7 linked regions of the Neurospora crassa OR74A genome follow. The protein of the gene in region 4 purifies or fractionates together with the protein of the main gene of each other region. This does not show direct contact. Links are inferred from orthologs where the notes say so. Each region holds a gene or a part of one and is shown on either strand. Other genes may lie near its edges. The genes, in order: NCU01203, NCU00105, NCU09528, NCU03066, NCU03669, NCU05235 and NCU00794.

The links.
Region 1: the proteins of NCU03066 (region 4) and NCU01203 purify together in Saccharomyces cerevisiae (affinity purification with mass spectrometry; 4 studies listed by BioGRID). This does not show direct contact. The link is inferred for Neurospora crassa OR74A from reciprocal best matches to the Saccharomyces cerevisiae genes NUG1 and RRP17.
Region 2: the proteins of NCU03066 (region 4) and NCU00105 purify together in Saccharomyces cerevisiae (affinity purification with mass spectrometry; 3 studies listed by BioGRID). This does not show direct contact. The link is inferred for Neurospora crassa OR74A from reciprocal best matches to the Saccharomyces cerevisiae genes NUG1 and NIP7.
Region 3: the proteins of NCU03066 (region 4) and NCU09528 purify together in Saccharomyces cerevisiae (affinity purification with mass spectrometry; 3 studies listed by BioGRID). This does not show direct contact. The link is inferred for Neurospora crassa OR74A from reciprocal best matches to the Saccharomyces cerevisiae genes NUG1 and NOP16.
Region 5: the proteins of NCU03066 (region 4) and NCU03669 purify together in Saccharomyces cerevisiae (affinity purification with mass spectrometry; 6 studies listed by BioGRID, with this or other methods). This does not show direct contact. The link is inferred for Neurospora crassa OR74A from reciprocal best matches to the Saccharomyces cerevisiae genes NUG1 and SPB1.
Region 6: the proteins of NCU03066 (region 4) and NCU05235 purify together in Saccharomyces cerevisiae (affinity purification with mass spectrometry; 4 studies listed by BioGRID). This does not show direct contact. The link is inferred for Neurospora crassa OR74A from reciprocal best matches to the Saccharomyces cerevisiae genes NUG1 and RLP24.
Region 7: the proteins of NCU03066 (region 4) and NCU00794 purify together in Saccharomyces cerevisiae (affinity purification with mass spectrometry; 8 studies listed by BioGRID, with this or other methods). This does not show direct contact. The link is inferred for Neurospora crassa OR74A from reciprocal best matches to the Saccharomyces cerevisiae genes NUG1 and RSA4.

Annotation. Positions count from the first base shown.
Region 1 is NC_026505.1:3,224,221-3,226,960, forward strand, and holds NCU01203 (hypothetical protein), read left to right. Parts: upstream 1-1,152; 5' UTR 1,153-1,272; coding exon 1,273-1,503; intron 1,504-1,574; coding exon 1,575-2,039; 3' UTR 2,040-2,240; downstream 2,241-2,740. Other genes in the region: NCU01202 (hypothetical protein), read right to left, coding at 1-141, 206-579, 731-822; tpm (tropomyosin), read right to left, coding at 2,346-2,508, 2,635-2,740. UniProt on the Saccharomyces cerevisiae protein: Essential protein involved in ribosomal RNA processing.
Region 2 is NC_026503.1:2,638,808-2,641,953, forward strand, and holds NCU00105 (ribosome biogenesis protein NIP7), read left to right. Parts: upstream 1-1,227; 5' UTR 1,228-1,328; coding exon 1,329-1,373; intron 1,374-1,451; coding exon 1,452-1,538; intron 1,539-1,718; coding exon 1,719-1,845; intron 1,846-1,937; coding exon 1,938-2,018; intron 2,019-2,087; coding exon 2,088-2,299; 3' UTR 2,300-2,646; downstream 2,647-3,146. Other genes in the region: pro-4 (glutamate 5-kinase), read right to left, coding at 2,724-3,146. UniProt on the Saccharomyces cerevisiae protein: Required for proper 27S pre-rRNA processing and 60S ribosome subunit assembly.
Region 3 is NC_026505.1:4,474,525-4,477,866, reverse strand, and holds NCU09528 (nucleolar protein 16), read left to right. Parts: upstream 1-1,147; 5' UTR 1,148-1,316; coding exon 1,317-1,432; intron 1,433-1,513; coding exon 1,514-2,096; 3' UTR 2,097-2,842; downstream 2,843-3,342. Other genes in the region: NCU09527 (hypothetical protein), read right to left, coding at 3,191-3,342. UniProt on the Saccharomyces cerevisiae protein: Involved in the biogenesis of the 60S ribosomal subunit.
Region 4 is NC_026501.1:4,414,055-4,418,162, reverse strand, and holds NCU03066 (GTP-binding protein), read left to right. Parts: upstream 1-1,438; 5' UTR 1,439-1,543; coding exon 1,544-1,571; intron 1,572-1,642; coding exon 1,643-3,267; 3' UTR 3,268-3,608; downstream 3,609-4,108. Other genes in the region: NCU03067 (hypothetical protein), read left to right, coding at 1-420; NCU03065 (mitotic control protein dis3), read right to left, coding at 3,784-4,108. UniProt on the Saccharomyces cerevisiae protein: GTPase required for 60S ribosomal subunit export to the cytoplasm.
Region 5 is NC_026505.1:2,021,227-2,025,484, forward strand, and holds the start of NCU03669 (AdoMet-dependent rRNA methyltransferase spb1), read left to right. Parts: upstream 1-1,458; 5' UTR 1,459-1,601; coding exon 1,602-1,769; intron 1,770-1,836; coding exon 1,837-3,613; intron 3,614-3,680; coding exon 3,681-4,151; intron 4,152-4,230; coding exon 4,231-4,258. Other genes in the region: NCU03668 (WD domain-containing protein), read right to left, coding at 1-408. UniProt on the Saccharomyces cerevisiae protein: Required for proper assembly of pre-ribosomal particles during the biogenesis of the 60S ribosomal subunit. Specifically methylates the guanosine in position 2922 of the 25S rRNA at the stage of 27S pre-rRNA maturation.
Region 6 is NC_026504.1:5,664,074-5,667,573, forward strand, and holds NCU05235 (ribosome biogenesis protein RLP24), read left to right. Parts: upstream 1-1,381; 5' UTR 1,382-1,531; coding exon 1,532-1,607; intron 1,608-1,691; coding exon 1,692-2,296; 3' UTR 2,297-3,000; downstream 3,001-3,500. UniProt on the Saccharomyces cerevisiae protein: Involved in the biogenesis of the 60S ribosomal subunit. Ensures the docking of NOG1 to pre-60S ribosomal particles. Activates and recruits ATPase AFG2 to cytoplasmic pre-60S ribosomal particles.
Region 7 is NC_026501.1:7,141,925-7,146,020, reverse strand, and holds NCU00794 (ribosome biogenesis protein Rsa4), read right to left. Parts: upstream 2,801-4,096; 5' UTR 2,650-2,800; coding exon 2,300-2,649; intron 2,240-2,299; coding exon 1,246-2,239; intron 1,181-1,245; coding exon 1,055-1,180; intron 990-1,054; coding exon 906-989; 3' UTR 203-905; downstream 1-202. Other genes in the region: NCU00795 (membrane bound cation transporter), read right to left, coding at 3,678-4,096. UniProt on the Saccharomyces cerevisiae protein: Involved in ribosome biogenesis. Required for processing and efficient intra-nuclear transport of pre-60S ribosomal subunits.

The sequences.
Region 1 (2,740 bases), on a different chromosome or scaffold from region 4:
AGCTAAACTGTCCGCGCTTGAGATCCATATGGACTGGTTCGATAAAGTCAGGCTGGTAAGCCTTGAACTCGTTAGGGTCTGATACCATGACAAGGGTATAGTCGCCCTCAAGGGTATCGAGCACCAGGCCCAACTGATCGTCTATAGTTGCACAGGTTAGTACGGGGCAATTCAATAGCCGACCCGTGATCCGAACTAGACATACCATTAGAAGCCAGGATTTGCGCCCTATTATCCTTGTGCTCCAAGGAAGGTAGATGCGTGAGGTCAACTTTGACGATACCGGCAACCTTCCCCTTGGCAGCGCAGGCTTCCTTCACATAATCCTCCAACGAATGGGTTGAGAGGTCGCCGACTACCTCCGCAACGCTGAAACGGCCCTTGATTTCCTTGCTTGCGATTGTGTCGCATAGACTGCGCATTTTACAGTGCGAGCCATCGCGGATGTCGGCGGCGTGCACGTTCGGCTGGGAGACGATAACGTAGTCTTTCGTAGGACAAGAGGAAAGGATCTCCTTGGCGGAAGCAATCACTTGATTGCTGGTTTGGAGCTGATCGTATCTTTCGGGTGTATTGAGCCTGGAAATCACGGTTTCGCAAGGGTCAGCATCTTCAGTCGAAGTCACATGCATGAAAGCGCAACTGAGTGGGATGTGGTGCACAAGATCGTGATGGCGCGAGGGCAACTTGAAGGGACACCACCCACGGCGACAATTGGGACATGACGTACCTGGAGGTGGAAAAGAGGACAAATGGTGAAGAGTCCGAGAAGGCATGCACTGCCGTAGAGGCGAGCAGAGTTGTTACTATCGAGAGTTTCATGATTTACAGATTATGCCAAACTGTCTGCGATATTGTCGTCGTCGTCGGTTGTTGTGTTGGATATGCGAATATGGTGTAGTGTACAAACTGGCAGCGTGGTGTAGCTCCAGGATCCAGAGCCCGGGAGCGTGGATGTCACTGCACTGAGAGAGCGCCAGACGTCTGATGCATGGGATTGGGTGCTGGGTGTGACCGGCAGGCTATGGACATCAGAGATAGGCGGTAGAATAGGGCAGAATACGATAAGGCCGCTTCCTGCATGGTGCCCCGTTCGAGTGAACATTTGAACAGGGGGGTGGCTATCAGTAAATTTACAGTTGAACCCAGAGCATCCAGATCGCTGCATCCAAACATCCTTCCCGCCCTTACCTCTACCTCGATTTCTTGTTCCCTTTTCTCCACAAAACCACCAAACGAACTTTCCACTCAAAGTCAACCCTCGAAGCCATTATGGAGAGGGATCCAGCGTTCTTTGTTGCCCCAAGGCCCAAAAAGAGTGGGCTCGCGCCGCCACCCAAGAAACGCAAGATAGTGCACAAGGTCGAGGAAATCACATTCGACAAGGACGCCCGCACCGAATATCTTACCGGTTTCCACAAGCGTAAACAGGCCCGAATCAAGGCTGCGAAGGCGCAAGCAGAGGAAGAGGCACGGCTGGAACGAATTAGGTTGAGAAAGCAGGTACGTACCGGATGACCGCTGTCTTTCTTGGTTGGTTCCATGGCAGTAAGTCTAATCTACGTCGGGTACAGATCAGAGAGGAGCGGCAGAAGAACCTCGAGGAACATATCCAAACAGTGCACAAGCTTCTCCACGAGGCAGAGCGTGCCGGTACCGACGACAAACCCACCGAGAACAAGTCAGACGACGAATGGGATGGGCTATCCGAAGACGATGTGGCGGAAGAGCCTGCGCTTGATGTCGAGGAGGAGTACATCGATGAAGACCGCTATACGACCGTGACAGTAGAAGCCGTCAGCGTAGACAGGGACGGCATCCACAAACCACGGACCTTGAAGGACGAAGAAGATTCCGAGACGGAGAAGAACAACAAGAAGAAGAAGGCGGCTGAAGAGGCGGCGCAGCAGGAAGCCGACAAGAAATCAAAACGAAACTTCCCAGAGAAAAAGAAGAAGAGAAAATTCACATACGAAAGCCGACATGACCGAAACGTCACAGAGAGGAAACAGAGGGCAAAGAAAGCGAAGCGGTCGTGATAGGTTAGATGGCGAAGGAAATAATCTACCGCTATTCCTGACAGCGGTATCCCTTACGATATCTAGATCTTGTTTAAGTACTGTATGTGCAATGCTGGGATGATGGATTATGCTTTGAACTAGTAGGCAATATGAGTTGTACGCGGGAGTTAGATAACGGCTTGCTTTGTCCGTCTTATCTCCCTACTCGACAACCCGAGGACAAACGGCATAAAGGGTCAGGCTGATATTATCGATGCGGTGACGCTGTGAACAAACGTAAAGAAAGGAATTTCCACCATGTTCCGACTGCATCCGTTAACCAACTTAGATGTTGGCAATATCAGCCTGGAACTCTTCCAAGCTCTTCTGTACCTCGGCGTACTTCTTGGCCATCTCTTCGTACTTGGACTCCCACTGGTCGCGCTCGTTCTCGAGGGCCTGAACCTTGCGCTCGAAGTGGCCGGCCTTGACGTCGGTCTGGCGAAGCCTGTTGAAGGAGGAAAACATCATGTTAGTCTAAGGTGTCGCAAAGAAAAGGGGTTCAAGGGCACAGGGGTTAGGACCCTCCCCCATCTCATCGTCCAGGGGTGCGTGTATTTCGATGCAAACGTACTTCTCGTTGGTCTCGCGGAGAGTCTTGTCAGCCTCCTCGGCCTCCTCTTCAAGAAGTTGAAGTCTCCGTGTCAGCGTCTCGTTCTGAGTGCCTTGTTGCGCGCCAT
Region 2 (3,146 bases), on a different chromosome or scaffold from region 4:
TGGACGTTACTGCAATGCTTCTTTTCACTTCCGTCTTCTCCTTCCACTATAATCCTTCACCGTTGTTCTTTGTCTTCGTTTGCGCAGATGAACAACAAGGGACGTTCTCTCCCAGTTGGACGAACCACAATGTCGGTATCCTCACACTCCAGCATCTCTCTCTCACCATACATACCTTTTCCCATCTACAGGTCTGGCCAAGAAGGCGCAGTAAGGTCTTCGGCGATTACCGCGTAAGGGAAGCTCCTTGCGCATCCGTGATTTCTACGACGAGATAGTCGAATACGTAATGTTGCGCATCGTGGTGGGTTGGGTATCATGAGATTCCTCTAACCAGCGCGCCCAACGTGAGCCAGTTTGGTTGGTCACACTTCATATTCCTTCGAGATGGATGAATTCGGTGCATTCGGTGGTATTCTATACCACAATACTCCCACGTCTCGTTTGCCACTATGTAGTCATCAACACCTCCCCACTTGAGAACCTCGGACAGGAACGGAGACACTGGTTGAGGAGTCTGAATGGCAATCGATCAACTCGATGCTTGATACTAGTTTGGCTTCTTTTTGTGTCAGTAGAAGTTGACTTATAATCCCTCTTTGATGGGTGCAAGGCCATGGCTCGACCCATTCACGACCAGAACCACAAGCTGCCACTTCCAACGTCAAGTGGCCTTCTAGTTACGCTTTTGTCAGTTGAACAGCGAGCTTCTTTGCTGCGATATCACTCCGATATGCATTACAATCTCTGGAAAGCTAACTTGCACGGTTAACCCTGCCAGCAATCTGGGCTACCAGGACGATTGAGAAGTCAGCCAGGCTCGCCGCGCAGGAAAACAATCGTGTAGATGAGGACCGAATCCTGAAAGAGAGTAGCCCGCTGGATACAGCTGGAGATCATTGGCCTCGACTGGGGTTTGTTTCTTCCATCACACCAGGACTTGGATGAACATCGCGATGCAGGAGTTCCCTCTGGAAATATAAACTTCATGGATGTGGCATATTATCCGCTTCAGGTTGTCACTTCAGTTGCCGGCCTGTGACAGTGTCGCTAGGGCGGCACGCTGGGGTCGCGCACGGCAAACGTAGAAGCGGGTAAAAGTGGGACTCGGCTATTTTAGCTACGAGTATCCACTGCAGCCATTGCATCTAAAGCGGAGAATTGATGGCTTGGCGTCTCCCCATTATCGGAAGAGTGGGTTTCCTTGTCGATAAAAAAAAGTTCTGGCAGAGAAACGCGGGCGAACCTCCATCGGTTGCGGCTGTCAGCGCTTGGAGATTCCCTCGCATTGCATCACCAACTCCATCAATTCACAACACACCGACAAGATGCGCCCTCTTACAGAAACGGAGCAGAAGACCGTCTTCGAGAAGGTCAGTTTCAGTGCCGAAACAATGTCATATTCAAACAAGGATGAACAACAGCTGACTGATTGCTTTGGCACCCTAAAGCTTGCAAACTACTGCACCGATCTCAAGAGTCTTATCGCTCCTCTCGATGATGGCGACAGATACGTTTTCCGTCTGAACCACTCTCGCGTACGTCCTGCCTCTCTCGCCTCCCTCGCTTCCTCTCGACCTTGCTCGATACACCGTCTCTTCCCTTTTGGCTGTGCGCCACCGAGGACAACGACAGCCGTTGCGACGGCGATGACAGCCACCACACCACCACCAACCAGAATAAGGGCCAGATAAACTGACAAAGATGATGATATACAGGTTTACTACGTCCGTCTCTCCGTTGCCAACCTCGCCACCAGTGTCAGCCGCGATGCCCTCCTCAGCCTGGGTACCTGCCTTGGAAAGATGACCAAGACGGGAAAGTTCAGACTTCACATCACTGCCCGTACGTTCCATGTCCAATGCCGAATCCTTATGCGGTTACTGAAACAGTTGGAATGTATGTGAAAGCTAACAACCTGATTACCAACCTTATAGTTCCTATCCTCTCGGAGCACGCCCGTCATAAGATCTGGGTCAAGGACAACGGTGCCCAGCCCTTCCTCTACGGCTCGAACGGTATACCTCTCCATCTCCTGGTTCTCTGTCCTACTAGCCTCATGAAAACTAACGGGCATTTGAAAACAGTCGTCAAGGCCCACGTCGGCCGTTGGTCCGAGGACTGCCCCGAGCACTCCGGTGTCGTCGTCTACAGCATGGCTGATATCCCCCTTGGCTTCGGTGTCACAGCTCGTAGCACAACCGAGGCACGCCGCCTTGATCCCACGGGTATCGTTTGCTTCCGTCAATCGGACTGCGGCGAGTACCTCCGTGATGAGGACACCCTCTTTGCTGGTTAAAGTGTCGGTCCGAGTAAGAAAGAGGGAAGGAATTAACGAAGGCTTGGAAAAGAGAAGGTCATATGAACTTTTTTTTTGCTTTAGGGAAGTACCATAAAGGCGTCCTGGCGTTTACAACACACACATACACTTTTGGTCAGAATCAGATACCTCCAGCATTTTTATCTGGGCAGATATAATTTGATCTTTTTTCTCGTCGAGCAATGGGGCAGGACCGAGACATACCTACATCCTTTATTAGGAAGTGTGATGGGATCCTCTCGACCTCGTTGTTTTTATACCTGTGGAAGCCATTGTTCGTCCAGATCCCGACTTACGCAACACTCAAATTGTATCTGTTTACGTCGTTTTCAACACGTAATTTCAAGGTACGAACCCCGTCCATGTTTTTGTATAATCGCACTTTTTCTACCAAGCCATACCTTCAAGCCCGATGTCCCCCAACAGGACTAGCCGGCCTACTCACCGTATTGTAAAAGCTCACACTCTCCCTCTGCGCCACATACTCGCTATCCGCATACCCCAACAGCTGCCCAATCTCCACGCTCTGATGTCCCTTAATCCTTGCAATCTCGGCGCTCGCGTAGTTGGTCAGGCACCGGCCCACCTCGACCGCTTCACCCTCCCACATCTTGCCATCCGGACCGGGCGTAGACCGGCGCTTGTCAACGACGCACAGGCGCACAGCCTCTTGCTGAGCAAAGAAACCCTCGACGTCCACTACGCCGACGGGAAGCAGCCCAGCTTTGCCGAGGAGAGCCTTGTACGCGCCCTGGTCGATGTACAAAGTGCCATGCGGACGCAGGCCGTGCAGGATCCAGAAGTAGCGGTCGCGGACGGGCGAGGG
Region 3 (3,342 bases), on a different chromosome or scaffold from region 4:
TAAACCTCATGGCTAACGAAGTCTACGCCTAGACTTAACAGGAAGGTGACTATCCCAAGCATGGCCCCCCTCATCAAGTTCTGAATATCTCCATGTTGCATTGAGGTTGGATGGGGTTGAAGAAGGAGGGGGAGGTGGGTAAGATGTTGAGTTCTGCTGCGAACTATGGGCTGGGCGTTTGAAGAGAGAGGAGTTGGGGAAGAAAAAGCAAGACCTCGGTCGCTGTCTAGGTACTTGTATAGGCAAACGTCTAGAACACCATGAAAGACAATTGGCTGGCCACTACAGTACACCTATGTATGTCGAACGGCTTCCCATTCTGCGCAGTGTTCTTCCGGGCTCTGATGGGCATTGGCCGGCATGTAGCAGGGTGATGATGACCGAGGCACTTGAAATGAACATGTCAACAGTTAGGTCGCATACTACCGAATGTCTTTGGAAGTACAAGGCTGACATTTGAAGGCGGGTTGGATTTGAATAAAAAAGAAATGAAATTTCAGGCATGACCCGCGTGCCTGCGTCGAATGGATAGTGGCGGGGGCCATGGAGGGTGTTTTGGGGATGGGATGAGACGGGAATCAAGTTGCCCTACCGGAAAACTTGCAAAGTGCGTAGCTAGTTATTTAGCAATGATTACAAGTCTGTTCATATCTCCAATGGGTAATGATCATGGTGACAATGGTGAGGTGGTGACTGGCGCGGCCGCTGGCGCCTCACCAGTTGCGAGCAGAACAAGAAGCCGCGGCTATGATGGCCGTGAAAGTTAGGGTCCAATTCCGAGGAAATAGTCGTTAGGTAAGTTGCCATCATCACCCTTGGGAGAAGGATTGTTGATGAACGAACTGGTGACGGCAATAAAGGCAAGCAAGATACAAGAGGATTAGAAACGGAACCTGAGGAAGCGGTATTTATGTACGTGCTTACATACAATACACCACTTACACTACCTAGGTACACACTTACGCAGTAGGGACTGTATCTTTATTACGGCCCTCTTGCCAGCTGGCGACTGGACTGAGGGAACGTACCCAAGCTTGCCAAGTAACGAACAACCTGTAAGGTCGATAAGGGACAACAGCCCCACTATAATTCTCTTATCGGACAGGAGCCATTGCAGTTCCAGTTCAATCGAGTTCTCTGGGGTGGTTTCCCCCGAAATTTTGGTCAACTTCCGCCTTCGTTGTTGTTGTCGCCGTCATCGTTCTTTGCTGGTTTACTCCCATTTCGCCTTCTTCTTCCCAGCATCTTTTGGCAGTCGAACTCCTGTCCTTTCAGCAACACCACATAGTACCTACTTCCCGAAAACCACAGCAACAATGGGCAGAGAACTTCAGAAGCGCAAGAAGCGCTCGTCTCGCGCCAAGGTCCAGACGCATACCATCAAGAAGAAGGTCTTGAACCCCCAGGGCAGCGGCATCGTTGCCAAGGCCTGGTAAGTACCTTTCTCTTCTTTTTGTTGCCAGATATTCGAGAGGAGATTCAGTACTGACATGCAAAAATTGATGTACTACAGGAACAAGAAGGAGACCCTCTCACAAAACTACTCCCGCTTCGGTCTCGTCGCCAAGCTCGGCACCGCCGCCGGCGGCATGGCCAAGAAGTCCGCCGCCGCCAACTACGCCGGCATCACCAAGGATGATCCTTTGGCCGTCAAGTCGGCCGATCGCGGCCTGTTCGAGGTCCGCGAGGTCAAGGTCGAGCGTGACGCCTCGGGCAAGATCGTCAAGGTCCTGCGCTCGGACAACCCGCTCAACGACCCGCTCAACGAGATCGAGTCCGACTCCGAATCCGAGGAACCCAAGCCCAAGAACCCAACCCATGATATCGAATGGCACGGCATCAGCGACGACCGCCAGGAGATGATTGCCCAGAGCAGCCGGCCCGAGGTGGTCCGGATGCTCGAGGAGGAGGCGTCGCGCCCTGTGGAGAAGACGGTGCGCTACCAGAGCGAGCGCGAGCTAGAATGGCTGCAGCGACTAGTGGCTAAGCACGGCGACGATGTAGCTGCCATGGTGCGCGACATCAAGTTAAACCCGATGCAGCAGACCAAGGGCGACATTACCAAGCGGTTGAGGAAGGCTGGCTTGTTGCAGTAAAGAAGCGGACGAAGAAACGAGGGAGGGGAAGAAGGGGGCAAATTGCATGCGCGAGTGTGATGTGAACTTCATCATCACTGGAATGTGACTGCTTCTTGCAAGGGGATGTTCTTGGGATCACCGGTGAGCTCGGTTTGTGGTCTGAAGATAAGGGTAGAGATGAGGGAGCCTGGCGACAAATGCCCGGACCCATGTCCAGTCTCGTCCTGTAAGCTGGGCTACGAGAGTCGGCGGGAGGGAGAAAGAGCGACCCAACACGGCTGATCCTTCAGCCGAGATGGCTCTGCTCGACAGGTCTCGAAAGAAGAGAGCAACGGATTTTGTCTTTCTCTCTTTGTCTCTCTTTCTCTCTCAGACTGGTATAATGCCAGTTAGACTCTCCCCGCTGTCGCCTCATCATACTTCGCTTCAGGGGGCGACCCTCTCGTGGAATGGGGAACTGGCAAAGAAACAGGTGACGGAGCTACTTCGGCTCGCGCTCCCTTGCTCAACGGTAATGAGCAAAAGCAAAACGGATGATGGGACGGGAACCAGGATTTCTTGTGCAGCATACATACTATTCATTAAGGCCACGGGCGTTTTAGGCGTTTCTCAAAGTACATGAAAAGAATTAGGGCCATTGAGCCATCCACATATATCGTATCATATCTTGTTTGTCACCTAGAATCATGTTCTACGTAGATCTCCACAAATATGGGAGAGTTTAATAAGAATGACACAGATACAAAGCATTCCATGAAGCCGATATGAGAGCTTTGTGATTCATTGTTGATGCACGAAGATATCTCTCTCGTTTCTATGCATGATAAACCAACAAGGACCTGTGACGCCTCGCCAACGACACCCCATAAAACAAAGCCTACACACATACATACACAAGAAAAAGCCCAAAATGTTTCGTCTAGTGCCAGCCAGCCCCCAATAACAAAAAAAAAGAAAGCAGGTAGCCAAGACACTTTGTACATGACCTAAGCATGCTGCAGCGTATAGCTACCCGGTATTGCATCCGCTTCCAGATCCAAAGTCGATCAGTCCAGCTCATCCATATCCCTTGACTTGAATTCTCGACCCTTCTGTTTTTTTTAATCCCATTCTTACACATTCCCCCGTTCGATTCCTACTCGGCCGTAGGGCGCAGTGGGAAACCTTGCCGATGGCTCATCCTCGTAGTCCCCATCATGCACACTAGGCGGCGCGTACCTGCTGCCGCCGCCGACGGAGGATTGATAATCGTTATCGTTGTCAA
Region 4 (4,108 bases):
TATCGGGACGTGGGTAGCCAGCCACCTTCGTCGCTCGCAAACATGGTGGAGGTAGTCCGCTCCTTTGAGAGACTGATGGGAGAAGGACAGCAATATACGCATAGCGGAAATCTGGAAATGGCGATGCGTAACTTCAACAGTGCGCTTGCTTTTTGCGAATCAGGGGCTGCTTCCGGTGCCATTCTGAGCGGTGACCGTTACAAACAGTTGGCTTTTACCAAACTCGGTGGTACACACAGACGCCTTGGCAAGTATGAGCAGGCAAAAGACCTGCTCGAGCAAGCAATGGCCATGTCGGCATCAAGTGAGCTGCGCATCGAAGCCAGTGGCGAGCTTGGTGTTATCTATCAGCACATGGACCTGATGGATGATGCAAAGCGTGTGCTTCGGGTTCAGTATGAAACAGCAAAGGAGTTTTAGGCGGAGCACTTCGCGTGCCGGTCGATCGGAAACCTCGATACGGTCAACTAGCAACTGTCCCAGCAGCGTTAGGATGAGTCGTTGTTGTAATTAGCGATAAATTAGCTCCTTGAACGCGTTGAAAGGGCCCATCAGATCAAGGATACAATTGACTCGCAAGTCCTGGATGCATTTACAAGAGAACAGCGATTGAAGGGTGCGATAACTTGGGAAACAATCGGTCTCTTCCGTCTTTCTCTACGCTAAATGGGGGATACCTACGGAAGAGTTTCTGAAGATACTCCCTCATGTGAAGCGTGATAAGCGTGGTTTCTGGGTGATATGTTACCTCCCCACCACAACCCCCTTTCTTGATGCGTATTCGATGCTAGCATGCTATTTTGCTTCAGGACTTTGTCTACGTAGGCCAAGATGACCCAATGTCCGGAGTGTCTGCTCTGCCGATAATCATTGCATAGTGCAATGCCATTGTCAGCTTAAGCGACGATCAATTATGCGAGCGGGGCACGGTGTTCTGTTGAATCCATGATGATCCAAAAACTCAAAAAAAGCGTACAGCGTCCATGTGTGGTATAAACAAGTGCTTGACGACAGAACTGATGGCATCCAGAACTGCACCTTGACGGACGGTTCGATGGATTTGAGGATCGTCATGGCAGACAAGTGTTTGATTGTTGAGACGGACCGACCTAAAGTCCTCTTTCTGGAAAGGCAATGCAAACCACTTGCGTAAAGAGTCGGTAGCAATAATTCTTCATATACATATAGAGAACAAGCGCAACCACACCATAAGTGTATCAATATAATTTACATTCCACGTTTGGCTAAACACAAATCAAACATACAATACGACTGTAAATTACAGGCACGCGCATCTCCACATTCGAAGCGGGGACTTCTGGAATCTTGGTGGAGTTCAACACGGCGGATCCCTGCTTTATCAGAGCTTATCTAGGCGGTCAGCAGTGGCACAAACCGTTCCTCCACTCTAATTTTTTGACGACCATCAATCAGTACAGCCGCCCATAGTAGCGACCGGATTTTGCTGCTTTACCTTGCTGTCCCATCCTCAATTATCCTCCTGTACCTCCTTTTTTGACATTAGGAGCAGCATATCTTCAAAATGGCCGGATCGATAACAAAGCCCAAAAGTCAGTCAATCTTTCGCTGAGAACAACATATTCTTCCAATCAACACATTGACTGACGTTACTTAAAAACAGAGCCGAAATCGAAGCGTACACCCGTACGCCTCAGGCACAAGATCCAGAAGGCCTCGGCCGCGAAGCAACGCAAGGACAGAAAGCTCGCCAAGAAGAACCCAGAATGGCGCTCCAAGCTCAAGAAGGACCCGGGTATCCCGAACCTTTTCCCCTACAAGGAGAAGCTGTTGAACCAGATCGAGGAGGACCGCATTCGGAGAAAGGAACAGGAGCAGAAGCGTCGTGAGATGGCCAAGGCGGCCAAGACTGGCCAGGACACCAAGACGGGCGCCGAGGGCGATGTCGAGGCGTTCGATGACGATCTGATGGACGACGACGATGCTATGGAGGAGGATGGTAGCGACGTTGACGATGAGTCGAACCCCCTCGCTGCCCTGGTGGCCAGCGCCAGGAAAGCTGCCGAGCAGTACGACCGCGAGCTCCAGAGCGGCGACGAGATGGACGATGACGACGAGTCCGACGACGAGACCGATGGCGAACCCACACAGTCCGGCGTTATTGAGGTTCCCGGCGGCGCCTCCTCGCGCAAGGCTTTCGACAAGGTCTTCAAGCAGGTTGTTGAGCAGGCTGATGTCATTCTTTACGTCCTCGACGCCCGTGATCCCGAAGGCACCCGCTCGAGGGACGTCGAGCGCGCCGTCATGGCCGCCGCCCACGGTGGTAAGCGCCTGATCCTCATCCTCAACAAGGTCGATCTGATCCCTCCCCCGGTCCTCCGCGGCTGGCTCACCCACCTGCGCCGCTACTTCCCCACGCTGCCGCTGCGTGCCTCCAACCCTGCCCCCAACGCCCACACCTTCCAGCACCGCGACATTACCGTCCAAAGCACCAGCGCGGCTCTCTTCCGTGCGCTCAAGTCGTACGCCGTCTCGCGCAACCTCAAGCGCTCCATCCAGGTTGGCGTAATCGGCTACCCTAACGTCGGCAAGTCGTCCGTCATCAACGCCCTCCTGTCCCGCCTCAGCAACAGCCGCGGCCAGCACAACGCCTGCCCGGCCGGCGCCGAGGCCGGCGTCACCACCTCGATCCGCCAGGTCAAGATCGACAGCAAGCTGACGCTGCTCGACTCGCCCGGTATCGTGTTCCCTTCCACTGCCGGCAACTCGACCTTCACCCCCAAGAACCAGACCGAGGCGCACGCCCACCTGGTGCTCCTTAATGCCATCCCGCCCAAGCAGATCGAGGACCCGGTCCCCGCCGTGACGCTGCTGCTCAAGCGCCTGTCGGCCACCCCCGAGTTGATGGACAAGATGATGAAGGTGTACGACCTTCCCCCCTTGCTGCGCGACCCCAACAACGGCGACCCCACCATGGACTTCCTTGTCCAGGTTGCCCGCAAGCGCGGCAGGCTGGGCAGGGGCGGTATCCCCAATATCCAAGCCGCTGCCATGACTGTCGTGACCGACTGGCGCGACGGTCGTATCCAGGGCTGGATCGATGCTCCCGTCTTGGCTGTGGCTGGTACCGCCACTGCTCCTGCTCCTGCTGGCGGCAAGTCTGCTACCGCTGATGAGCCCCTAGCGGATCAGAAGGTGATCGTGACCGAGTGGGCCAAGGAGTTCAAGCTGGATGGTCTTTGGGGAGATGAGGAGGAGACGGCGACTCCGGATGTTGAGATGCAGTAGAGCGATTTATTCCCCCTATCTTTGTCTGTTGGCAGTTGTTGTTGAGCATTTCACTTTTTGGTTTCTTTTTTGTTTTCGGTTGCGTCGGTGGTCAATGTCGTAATGAGTATTTTGTTGTTTTGCATGTCAGAAACACAATACAACGAACCCCGGAGCTGGACACATCTTTGTGAAGAGGCGTTTTGGCGTCAAGGTGGGAAAGAGCAAAAAGGGAGACAGGCAGGCCGGCTGGTAGAAAATAGGTCAAATATAGCCTGATCATAAACACCTCTATGACAAAGGCTTTTGAAGTGAAGCTTTAAATTCTTTCTGACATTCCCTGCATCGTTCATCATACCGAGCTGTGTTTTCAATGGCCTATTATCGAATTCGAAAGCAACGACATTCCGAAAATGACTTCATGAACGTTTGGATAGCCGAAAGTAAAAAAACAATGTATTGCTCTACAAAAGTCCATCAAGGGTATTCTTAACCTGTACCCCTTCTCAAATACTGAAGCATCCATCTTCAACAAATCTAATAAGTACTAACAAGCTCCATCTTCACCCCCCTCTTCCCCGTCGTCTCATCCTTCTGATCCGTCACCCTCACCCTGACCTTCTGGAACAACTCCACCTTAACCTCCCTGCTTCCCGATGTGGTCAGCGTGTACGTCTCGGCATCATACGTCGCCGCCGGCTCCGGCTCCGCCAGGTCACGCAGACGGATCAAGCTCTCGATACCGAACTTCGGCACGAGCACAACAAAGCCATTGCTAAAGATCTTCATGACGAAGCCGTCCTCCTCCGTAGCCTTGCCGCGCAGGGCCTGGCCGACATAATAAGCAATGCTGGCACGGCCG
Region 5 (4,258 bases), on a different chromosome or scaffold from region 4:
GGGTAGGTGGGATACGTGCGATGCCTCAGCCCTCTTGGGTGTTGAAGCATGAGTGATCTTTCGACGCTTGGAGCTTCTCTGGCCATCCTGAAGGCTCGGTAACACATCTGGGATTTCCTCTTCCGAGATGGGCCTGAGAGGACTGGATGGAGTATGAGATCGTTCTATGAGAGGACCGGCTAGATCACGAAGAGCTCTTTGGGAAGCGCTGGGGTGGTTATTCGCTATGACTCGGGGAGTAAAGAAGCGCCTGAATTTCCGGGGGGTGATGGACGGGTTTCGACGTTCCTTGGCTGCGCTTCGCGGAGGAGGAGAGGACGGAATGGGGGGAATGTTGTTGCTGGTGTTCAACGACGACGAGCTCTTAACTCCCAAAGGGGTTGAAGTGCTGTTGGAGTTATCGGCCATGGCGAAAGGATTCTCTTCGACTACCAGAGCGAAGAGCTGGGTCCAGGCCGCTTATGCAACACGATACCTAGAGACGATGTACACGGGGCCGGCGACGCTGGATGCGCGCGACCTGGCAGCGAGGGGCCGCCGATGGCAAGGGTACGCGGAGACAGAGAACAGGCTGTGGTGATGGATATTTGTACAGAATCAGTTGAGCAACAGCTGGCGCAGAGGTATTGCTGGCAAGTGTCGACTGGATATTGGACAAGGGCTGACGTCGAAGTTGCAGGCTAGGCTGTGTGCAGCAAGCAGGCTGAGCTTGAAGAAGGACGGGAGGTCGAGGTCGTCGTTGAGAGACAAGGTAGGCGGCCGGGGGGGGCGTAAGGTATTGGCGCCGAGTTTATTGGTTGGCGGATTTGGTCGTAGTAGTATGGGTCCTCTGAGTGAAGTGGTGCGGCCGGAAGGGGTATGTCTATGTCGGTTTCTGGTGTAAGTGTGTCCTTGGTAGTATGGACTTGAAATTGAATGCGTAGGTGGAGATGTGATGGAATTGGATTTGGTTGTTCGTTTCTGTTGTGGATTTCCCTTGCGTGGTTCAGTTCCTAGAAGTACCTACGCTTTTGCTGAGTTCCCACTTGAGTACCTAGGTTTGCCGGGCAACCAAATCGACAGCCATGGAAACCTGACCTGACCTGGCCTGACCACCCATGGACTCCATTGAACACCTCCTCCAGTGGGCAGAGGCTGGGCGTGCGGTCCGTAGCGGCCGGGGGTCGGGGGGGAGGCGCCTAGAAGGAATGCGGTTTAGTGCTCCATCAGGGGAACGCGAAGACGCGGGAACAAATGACGCGCTGCATCGCGAAAGCTTAATGGCTTTTTCGTCCCATAAATCGCGGTTGCTGAAGACATGAAGATTGGTCAATGCACTGCACTTCAACCGCGGGATGTCTGGCCCACCCTGATGGGGCCCGTCTTGCTCGTTGCCCCACCAGCCGCCGGAGTCCAGTCTCTTATCGCTTATCGCCCTGCAGCTGTCATCCAAAAAAATCATTCTGCAACGACGACCCTGCAATCCCTGCGCTGCGAGTGCTGGAGGGAAGAACAGTCAAAGGGCACCCGGACTGCCATTTTCACCAACCCAAAAAAGTCACCAGGTCGTCCTGCTCAACAACACCAGTCGGAAACACCCCCCGACTTAGAGCACCGGCACCATGGCGATCCAAAAGAAACACGGCAAGGGCCGTCTTGACAAGTGGTACAAGCTTGCCAAGGAGAAGGGTTATCGTGCCCGTGCCGCCTTCAAGCTGATCCAGCTCAACAAGAAGTATGGATTCCTCGAGAAAAGCAAGGTCGCTCTCGATCTTTGCGCTGCGCCCGGTGTAAGTCATAGTCGTGAACATCCAGTTTATCATGGAGTGAACTAACCATGTCTGTGTCCGTCCCTAGTCGTGGTGTCAAGTCTGCGCCGAGACTATGCCGACAAACTCCATCATCATCGGTGTCGATCTTGCTCCCATCAAGCCCATCCCCAAGGTCATTACCTTCCAGAGCGATATCACCACCGAAAAGTGTCGCGCAACCATCCGCTCCCATCTCAAGACATGGAAGGCCGACGTCGTTCTTCACGATGGTGCGCCCAACGTCGGTACTGCTTGGGTCCAGGATTCGTACAACCAGGCCGAACTTGCCCTGCACTCGCTAAAGCTGGCCACCGAGTTCCTTATTGAGGGCGGTACGTTCGTCACCAAGGTGTTCAGATCCAAGGACTACAACTCCCTTCTCTGGGTTTGCAACCAGCTTTTCGCCAAGGTCGAGGCTACGAAGCCCCCTTCGTCCCGTAACGTCTCCGCCGAAATCTTCGTCGTCTGCCGCGGCTTCAAGGCCCCCAAGCGCATTGACCCCAAGCTTCTCGACCCCCGCTCCGTTTTCGAGGATGTGGCCGGCCCCGCCCCCAACAACGAAGCCAAGGTGTACAACCCCGAAGTCAAGAAGAGAAAGAGAGAGGGTTATGAGGAGGGAGACTACACCCAGTTCAAGGAGATCTCTGCCAGCGAGTTCATCAACACTGTCGATCCCATCGCCATTCTCGGCCAGTACAACAAACTCAGCTTTGAGCAACCCAAGAACGGCGATGTAGCATTGGCTGCCCTCGACAAGCTCCCCGAAACGACCGAAGAAATCCGTCTCTGCTGCGCCGATCTCAAAGTGCTCGGCAGGAAAGAGTTCAAGCTTCTCTTAAAATGGCGTCTAAAAGTACGGGAGATCTTCGGCTTCCCCTCCAAGAAGACCCAGAAGGCAGCTGTGGACGAGGAGGTTGCGGTAGTGGAGAACATGGATGAGGAGCTTAGGATCCAGGAGGAGCTGCAAAGGATCAAGGAGAAGGAGACCTCCAAGAAGAAGCGCGAGAGGAGGCGCGAGAATGAGAAGAAGCAAAAGGAGATTGTCCGCATGCAGATGAACATGACTGCGCCCATGGATATTGGTGTGGAGCAGGAAGGTCCCCGTGGTGAGGGTGCCATGTTCCGTCTCAAGACTATCGACCAGAACGCTGCCCTGAATAAGATCGCCAAGGGCAAGATGGCCGTTATCAAAGAGACCGAGAAACCGAAGGATTACGACTTTGGCTCCGACGGCGAAACCGACGAGAGCGACGAGGAGGCCGATCGTCTGGAGGAAGAGCTCGACAACCTGTACGATCAGTACCGGGAGCGGAAGGCGGCGGCCGATGCCAAGTACCGTGCCAAGAAGGCCAGGAAAGAGAACGGCGACGATGAATGGGAAGGCGTATCTGGCGATGAGGAGAAGGGTAGCGACGACGATGACGATGAGGAACTAGAAGTGGACAGCAGTGATGATGATTCCGACTCAGAGGATGGTGAATCTGGCAAGAAACTTATAACAGATCTAGACGGCCAGCCAGAAGAGAAGGATGGTCTGTCCAAGCGGGCCAAGAACTTCTTCAGTCAAGGTATCTTTGCGGAGATACCAGGACTTTTGGAGGAGCCAGAATCTGAGGAGGAGGAGGCTCAGGAGGCTGAGCTTGTTGAGGCTGTGGAGGACCTCAAGGTTACCAAGAAGGAGAAGAAGGAAGCCAAGGAAACCAAGGCCAAGAGCAAGAAGGCGGCCGAGGAGAGCGATGACGACGACGATTTCGAGGTTGTCAAGAACAACGAGGATGACGACTGGGAGAACGTTGAGAAGAAGAAGAAGAACGGCAGGCCTGGTAAGTTTCACTCAGTCCCTCTTCAGTATGACCTGTTAAGGGCAATGGCTGACTATGACAACTACAGACATCGACATCATCACCGCCGAGGCCATGACCCTCGCCCACCAGCTCGCGACCGGCGAGAAGACAAGTTACGACGTCATCGACGACGGTTACACCAAGCACGCCTTCAAGGACCGCGACGGTCTTCCCGACTGGTTCCTTGACGACGAGTCCAAGCACGACAAGCCGCACAAGCCCATCACCAAGGCCGCAGCGCAGGCCATTAAGGAGAAGCTCCGGGCCTACAACGCCCGTCCTATCAAGAAGGTGGCCGAGGCCAAGGCCAGGAAGAAGTTCAAGCAGGCCCAGAGGCTGGAGAAGCTCAAGAAGAAGGCCGATATGCTTGCCGGTGACGATGGCATGTCAGAAAAGGAAAAGGCTGCTAGCATTTCGAAGCTCATGGCGTCGGTTGCTAAGAAGACGAGGAGGGCGCCTATCAAGGTTGTCAAGGCTGCTGGTTCCAACAAGGGTCTCCAGGGCAGACCTAAAGGAGGTTCGTACTATCACTACCTTAAGATCTGGTGTGTTCTTTATGTTGGAATGATGCTAACTCGGTTTTTTCAATTTTATAGTCAAGGGCAGGTACAAGATGGTGGATCC
Region 6 (3,500 bases), on a different chromosome or scaffold from region 4:
CGTCTGGCTGAGGCATGGTGTAACCCAGGATTGAGCGGGGTAGGAGTGGCAGGCAATATCCAAAATCCAATCATCTCGAGTGGCTGGACGTCACTTTTGTATCACAGCGGCCCGTCTGTGAGTTCCGTCGTCTGATTCTGTGATGTCTAATGGCACCACGGAGCGAGGAGTGGTCCGGTGCGCGTGTGCTGTGGCTGGGGGAGGAAGCAGTAGGTGTTGGGTTTGTAATTTTGATCCTTTGTACATTTCAGTAGATACCAAGTTTGAGAAGGAAGATTACGGTGAACCGCATGGGATAATTACCGACAAGAAACTGGAAAGAGATAGCGACATCTTGACTTTCCTATACTTAGTGTACGGTTTGTATCAGGAAAGAACGATCTCGGGACCCTTACTGTCGCAGGGCAGGAGCTAGTCTGGTGGAGCCTCAGGGGAACCCGACTCCACTTTTGACGCTTTCCCCGGATTCCGTCCCCGCATCTTTGAGTTAGCGCTGTGGATCTGATGGGGCTCTCGGTCAGCACCCGACCCTCAACTCCGCTGTGAGTGAGATGAAAGGAGCACTGTGATTGGGGAAGGAGTGAGGAAAGTCCATTGCACTTCAAGTTCAATCTGAGAGACGGAGATGCGTTATATCAACCAAGTGTCAAGGAAGACCTCTTTTTGTGTAAAGCCTAAGTAGTCACCTTCAACAGACACTGGCCTACTGCCGACGGAGTTTCCATCACAGAAGGTCTTGATCATTGTGAGAAATGACAGACAATTCAAGATCCGATTTCGCCACAGTCTCCGAGAAGAACTTGACGCCTTCAGTTGTAACTCGAATAGATTCTTCAGACATGGTAAAAATTGCAGTCACGAACACCGATGATACCCGGTGTTGAACATTGTAGAGGGTGTCAGACTTTAATCGTTAGCAGTAACTGATGGGAAAGAAAGAGAGTGGAGCTAGCAATGTTAGGGTCCGCGAGAGTCCTGTTAACAGAAACCAATGCCATCTTGGTGACTGAACATTGTCGCGAAGCGAAAAGATCGTGAGCTCAAGAAGTATTGTTGGATGGATCGGGGAATATACTGATTTGGGAAAAGTAAACATGCCCGTCGACTTGAGCATCATGGCCATCGCTTGTCGAGAGAGCATCGAAAGTAAGCAGCCGCAATTGCCGGCCAACTTACATCGAGGAATCGATCATCGGGAACCATCATTGTCAAATCAAGAGAAAAGAACCGTCTGGGCTGGCGTATATGCACGCTCAACCCTAACCCGAGTCTTGTCGGCTGATAGCACGATAGCGCTAAGATAAGCCAAGCGTCCCCTCCGCCCCACTTTACTTTTCCAACACCGACATCCAGAAATTTTCAGAAGCGGCGCCCTTGACCGTTTCGCTGTTGTTGACTTTGTTGCTTGCTTCCCCCTCTCCTCCCCCCCCTCCCGAACAGACAACGAGCCCATCCTCACCCGGCTCGCTGCTTCTCTCCTCAACCACCACCACCACCACCACCACCACAACCACCCACATAACCCGTCAAGATGCGTGTCGATCCCTGTTTCTTTTGCGGCCGTCCGGCCTGGCCCTCCAAGGGCATTACCTTTATGCGTAACGATGGTATGTTTTTGTCATACTTCAGTTCCCCATCATCAACCTCTCCGTCAAGGCCAATTGCTAACCAGGGTACAACTAATGTTACAGGCAAGTCCTTCCGCTTCTGCCGCTCCAAATGCCACAAGAACTTCAAGATGAAGCGCAACCCCCGCAAGCTCAAGTGGACCAAGGCCTACCGCAAGAACGCCGGCAAGGAGATGGTGGTCGACAGCACCCTGCAGTTCGCCGCCCGCCGCAACGTGCCCGTCCGCTACGACCGCGAGCTCTTCGCCAAGACGGTCAAGGCCATGGAGCGTATCTCGGAGATCCGCCAGCGCCGCGAGCGCATCTTCTACAAGCGCCGCATGGCCGGCAAGCGCGCCCGCGAGGTCGCCGCCGCCCGCAAGCTCGTCGCCGAGAACGAGCACCTCCTCCCCCGCCTGCGCGGTTCCGAGAAGAGGAGGCTGGCCGAGCTCGCCCAGGAGACGGGCCAGGACGTCGAGGAGCTCGAGCGCGAGGAGCTGGCCAAGAAGGCTGCCAGCAAGAAGACCAAGGCGTTTGGCGGCGAGGTCAAGAGGCTCCGTGTCAGGACAGACGGCGGCGTGGAAGAGATCTCGGAGCGCGTCGCTGGTGGAGGCTTGGTCGATGAGGATGACGATGACGAGAACGATTTCGAGGACGTGGACGATGACGACGAGATGGATACCGACTGAGCGCCCGAGTCTCTGTAACTATTACTACCGCGACCACCACCACCGCCAACCACCACCACCACCATCACCAACACCGAAACCAGCCACCTCTTTTCTCGGGATCATTCGTTGTTTGCTTGTTTTCTTCGGACGAACTCGCTCCCGCGGCTGTCGATATCCCTATGCGGGGGAGGGTTCTGCTGTATTTTTTCGGCGGCCTTTCCTCGCCACTGAGACCTGCCTAGTTGACACCAGCAACAAAGCCCAACTACGACGAACGGGTCTTGGTGTATAAAGACGGAACGACCAGAAAGAGGACAGGACAGACAGCAATTGGTTGACCAACAGCCAATACTCTAACTGTAAAAACAGTAACTGTGGCTTTGGACAGACAGACAATCCTCCCCCCCGAGCGATGGCTGCTTTCGGGGCTTGCTTATACCCCTTGCTTGGTTGGTTGGTCGTTGGTCGCTACAGGTCATTGGAAAGATTCATTATATTCAGAACCATGGTTTTCAAGGGGGGGATCAATCAGTCTACCTTTAGTAGCAAAGCATATTTTCGGTTTTATTGGAATCGGCGAATTTGGCGTTTAATAGACACGGGGAGACCCACAATATGAAGTACTTGTTTGTTTTTTTCTTTCTGCCATGTCTTGTCTTGTTTTATAGTAGTAATCCTCAGTACTTTCTGACTCGACAAGTTACTCGTTTCTGTCTTCTGCCAACGTGACTGACCTCTGTAGCTCGAGACCTGACTAGGTATCCTAGCCAAGGATATATCCAAGGTCAATCTTGGACTACTACCCGTTCGTTGATTCCATCTTGCACTCAGTCGACAACACAACAACTCTAAACAACACCTAAAAGACACAGTTGGTTCAAGTCGGTAACTAAATACAAAGTATTATATCTTTTATCATTTGTATTATTATAAGCGTTAAGACCCGACAAAACCAAACCAACCCCTTCCTTCGCATGCTAATGCTCCGATCGCCTTGCTTTAGCCAGCCAGCCAAACCGTAAGCACAAAGCACAGCCAAGTTTCTCATTATAGTTTGCTTCCCCATTTGTCAGGTTGTCTAGCCCACCCACCTCTATTTCCCTCCCCCCACCCCCCATCATCATCATCATCAAGTTCCATCTCATTCTCTCATCATATATTTACCCCATTATATCGTTAACCTCGTTAACATCGTCAACATGATCATCATCCCCATTGCTGT
Region 7 (4,096 bases), about 2.7 Mb from region 4:
CATAGGACCAGTGGCAGCTCCCGTCCGGGCCTTCGAAGGATGCTTCAGAAAAAAGAAAAAAAAAGGCTTGCAGTGTGCGTGGTTCTTGCTACCTCTGGTCTGTTGCTTCGGGAAAGTGAATCATATGCCGTCTTCGAAAGTTACATATTCGTAACTCTGAACATCAACGGCTGGTTCACTAGCTCCAAACGTCATGATTAAACAACGTCTCTCTAGGTTGCCATGAATGCATATCACTATCCTTGTCTATATCGTGGCACCTATGTAACGCCCTGCATGATGCGCGCAATGAGAACCATTCCATCAAATGCTCGCATCTATCAAACCTCAAATGGATACCCCCGGACATCGCTTAACATGACCACGTCTCTGTCTATCTATGGTGCTTTCCATTTTCCAAATCTTTCGAGCGTCTTGTTGGTCTTGGTGTGTGGTCGCGCGGTTTGGTAACATTGAACTGGCGGCGGGAGATTTTACCGATTTGCCAGGCCCATTCCATCGCCTCTTTCGCTCTTGCCCAGCGATTCGGAAAGTTTGGCAGAGGCGCAGTCGGTAAGCACTTAACAGCCACACAACATCACCACCCTGCGAGTCGAGGTGATGTGTGCAGCCGTGTTGCGTATTGACTCAGCAAGGCCTCTTTGGTGAGCCGATACTAGTAGCTAGGCTGACGTCAAGGAAACTTGGCTCGCGAAGATTGCCGTGAAAGTTGTTTCTGGCAGATACCTGGGCATGTAGTATCCCAAGCCGGCTCGTTCGTGCGAACGGCAAACTGCTGCAAACACCACGGAAGCAGGCCAGAAGTCATATCACCCCGCTGAGGCCTCCGCGAGTGAAGTAGAGCGGGGGCTCTCGGGTTCCGACTGCTGGCTGTAGGAGAGTAAGGTTCGTTCTTGCCCTCTTCTTTAGTTTCTCCATGTCCTCACGGCCTTATCCTTTCCGCCTGATCCTACCATCTTGCCATCCGGCGACCAGTCCACAGCGTATACCTGGAAGCGAGTTAGAATTTTCCAGCAGTGGGAACACCGATGTCGCCGTGATTTGGTTCACATACCTCGTCTTCGTGTCCGGGAAGGTCCATGGCGAGAGTGCCAGTGCGCACATTCCATGCCTTGAGGGTAGTATCTTTGCTAGCCGTAATCAGAAGCCTGCTATCGGCGGACCAGGAGCATTGGTAGACCTGAAGTATCAACGCGTTAGAACTTTCCCCTCGTGGTAAGAGATGAATGTGGGTAAGGAACTCACGGGTGCAACATGACCCCTCAAGCTCTTGAGGAACTTGCCATCCCTGGCATTCCAGAGCTTCACGCTGTTATCCCAACCAACCGAGGCGATCAAAGTGCCATCGGGAGAGAATTGGACCTGGTTCACCTTGTTCTGGTGTCCCAAAAGTCTAGCAACGGGCTTGGTACCGTTGTTGGTGGGGTCCCACAGGTACATGGTAAAGTCGTCACTGGCAGATACGATGCGCTCAGCAACCTTGCCATTGATCTTGGCCGCTCTCTCGAAACGCTCCTTGGCCTTCTCCCTCCTGCCCTCCTCGGTGGAAGGGACGTCCTTGGTGTGGTCAAAGTAGGCGGTCCTCAGGGCGTGGTCGCTGGACAAACCAATATGGTTGATCCAGTGGGCGTGAGATGTCAAGCTGTGTACCAAGGTGCCCTTGACGGCGTCGAATACCCGGACAACCTTATCGTGCGAACCCGTGTAGATGAGGTCGGTTCCACCCCATCGCACGCAGGCGACGGAGCTCCTGTGACCGCTCAGGACGTGCTCGGTACGGCCTGTGTTGACAACCCAAATCCTACAGGTACCATCCTTGCTAGCACTGGCAATCCTAGGGGTGCCGTCTCTCCACAAGTGGTACGGCTGCCACGCCGTCATCAACACCCATTTGGCGTGGCCCTTGAAAGGCTGACCAACGGGCTTGCCGGCCTCGGGATCCCATATCCTCACTGTGCCATCCATGCTGCAGGTCGCTAGTTGCTCTCCATCGGGTCTCCAGCTGACGCCGAGGACCCAGCCGGTGTGCCCTTTCAATGTGTGCTTCGGGGTACCTGTATTTGTATCCCAAATACGAGCTGTGTTGTCGCCGCTGCCGGTAGCAAGGCGTCCGGATGAAATAGGCGAGAACTGGGCTGCGAGGATGGGTTGGCCGTGACCGGGAATGCGATGGGCAAGGCGCGAAACTGCTTGTACCCTGAAAACAGCCTGGGGCTCGGCACTAAGAGTAATTGTGGTTCTATGCGGAGGTTAGCGAAGCAGTTACGTGCTGGGCTTCCTGTGTCCGGGTCTTGCATACTCGAAGGGGTTCTCGACACCATGCTGCTTGAGAAGGCCGAGGAGGTCGGAAGGGTACTGGTCGACAATGATATCCTTGCCGGGAATATGGATGCGGAATCGGTATGGGGTGAACTCTTCGCGGTCCCTCTCGAGCAGGGTGTTGAGCAAGACGGAGATGTTCTTTTCGGTGGCATCGGCAAAGTTGATTTCGATGACATCGGTCATCTGGTTGCCATCGCTGTCGACGAAGTTGGCCTTGAAGGAGCCGAGCTCAGGCGCCAGTATCGGGGCGACATCGAGCTGTGTTGTGGTGCGCTCAATCTCCTCTCTCTTTTGGCGCTTCGACGGGGGTGGTAGTACTGTCGCCATCTTGGATTATGTTGTGCCAGAAGTTGTCGCTGAAAGTGTGTTGCGATACTCGCCCGACTTCCAGGAAGTGTTGATGGATTGGGGGCCTTCTGGGTTTGCACTGGACTTGCTGCCCCTGCAAAGGCTGGACCCAGCAGAATGCGGACAGTCCAAAATTTTGGCGGTGATGGCGTGCAAAACTGGCTTGGCATGTCCAGTTCCAATGGAGCTCTGACCCACACTTGCTTTCCCCATGTCTCCACAGGGGCATCACGAAGCTGGGCCAGGGCTGTTTACGATTTAGCGCTGTTAGTGCGTCTGCATCCAAACCTTCCACTTGAACCATCGGGCATCATCCCATGTCATCATCATCCCATCTCCAAACATTCCAACACTCCGAGTCAACTCCCACTTGTCGTCACCACTGCTTCCCAACAGCTGTTATACTGTATACCCTACGTGATCTCCCATCTATGTATGAACCCAGCATGAGCATCGCCCGGCTGTTCTTGACTCCTCCGGAGGGGATTCATGTTCCGACATGACGCCTTTTTGTTTCTCTATACTACTACACAAGGCACAAAAATTCATTTCTCTCCCTTTGTCTAGGTGACCCAGACCCTCAAATATCGCCCACGTCCAGAGGAATCGCTATACCCTGGATTCCCTTCACCAGGATACTCGTCAACTATCTCTACTTATTGACCAAACTTCTCATTCCCCTCGCTTCTCATTGACCGGCAGTCCCGATATTCCAGGCTGCCCGGGTTTTCGCTTTCCCAATGCCACTTGCAAAGTATTGCGGCTGCTGCTGGTCCCAAGTCGGGTACGGTCACGGCTGGCACTGGCTCTGGTACTAGCTTTGATACTGCATCTGATGCGGCCTCTGCTACGACAATTACTGATATGGCTGTTGGCAAAAGCCTAAACCTCCTTAGTCAAGACAAACTACTCCTTCGGTCTGGGCCTCAACCATAACCGTTCATCTGTCATCCGAACCTAGGTAGCCTACACACTCCGACCTCCCATCCTAAATTCTGTCTTCACCCTTACCCAACAGAGCTAGCCAACCTTGGATTTGGCAAGTAAAACGCTGCCACGGCGATAATGAGGTAGGCAGATGCCAAAAGTGCTCCCTCGAGGTAGTTACTCCTCCCATCTCTAACGAGAAAATTCACAATGAAGGTGCTAACGAACATGCAGACAGTCTCGAAGAGGGTAAAGTAGAGAGACATGTCTCGATCCATGATCCAGCCCAAGATAACCACTACCGGCGTCACAAACAGCGCAATCTGGATACTGCTGCCCAGTGCCACGCCCAGTGCCAAGTCCATCTTGTTCTTGAGTGCCACGCTCACAGATGTGATGTGTTCAGCTGCATTGCCTACAATGGGGATGAGCACTAGACCGATGAAGGCTTCAGAGATGCCTGTAGTTGCATTGGCATCCCGGGCGACGATTGCATCGA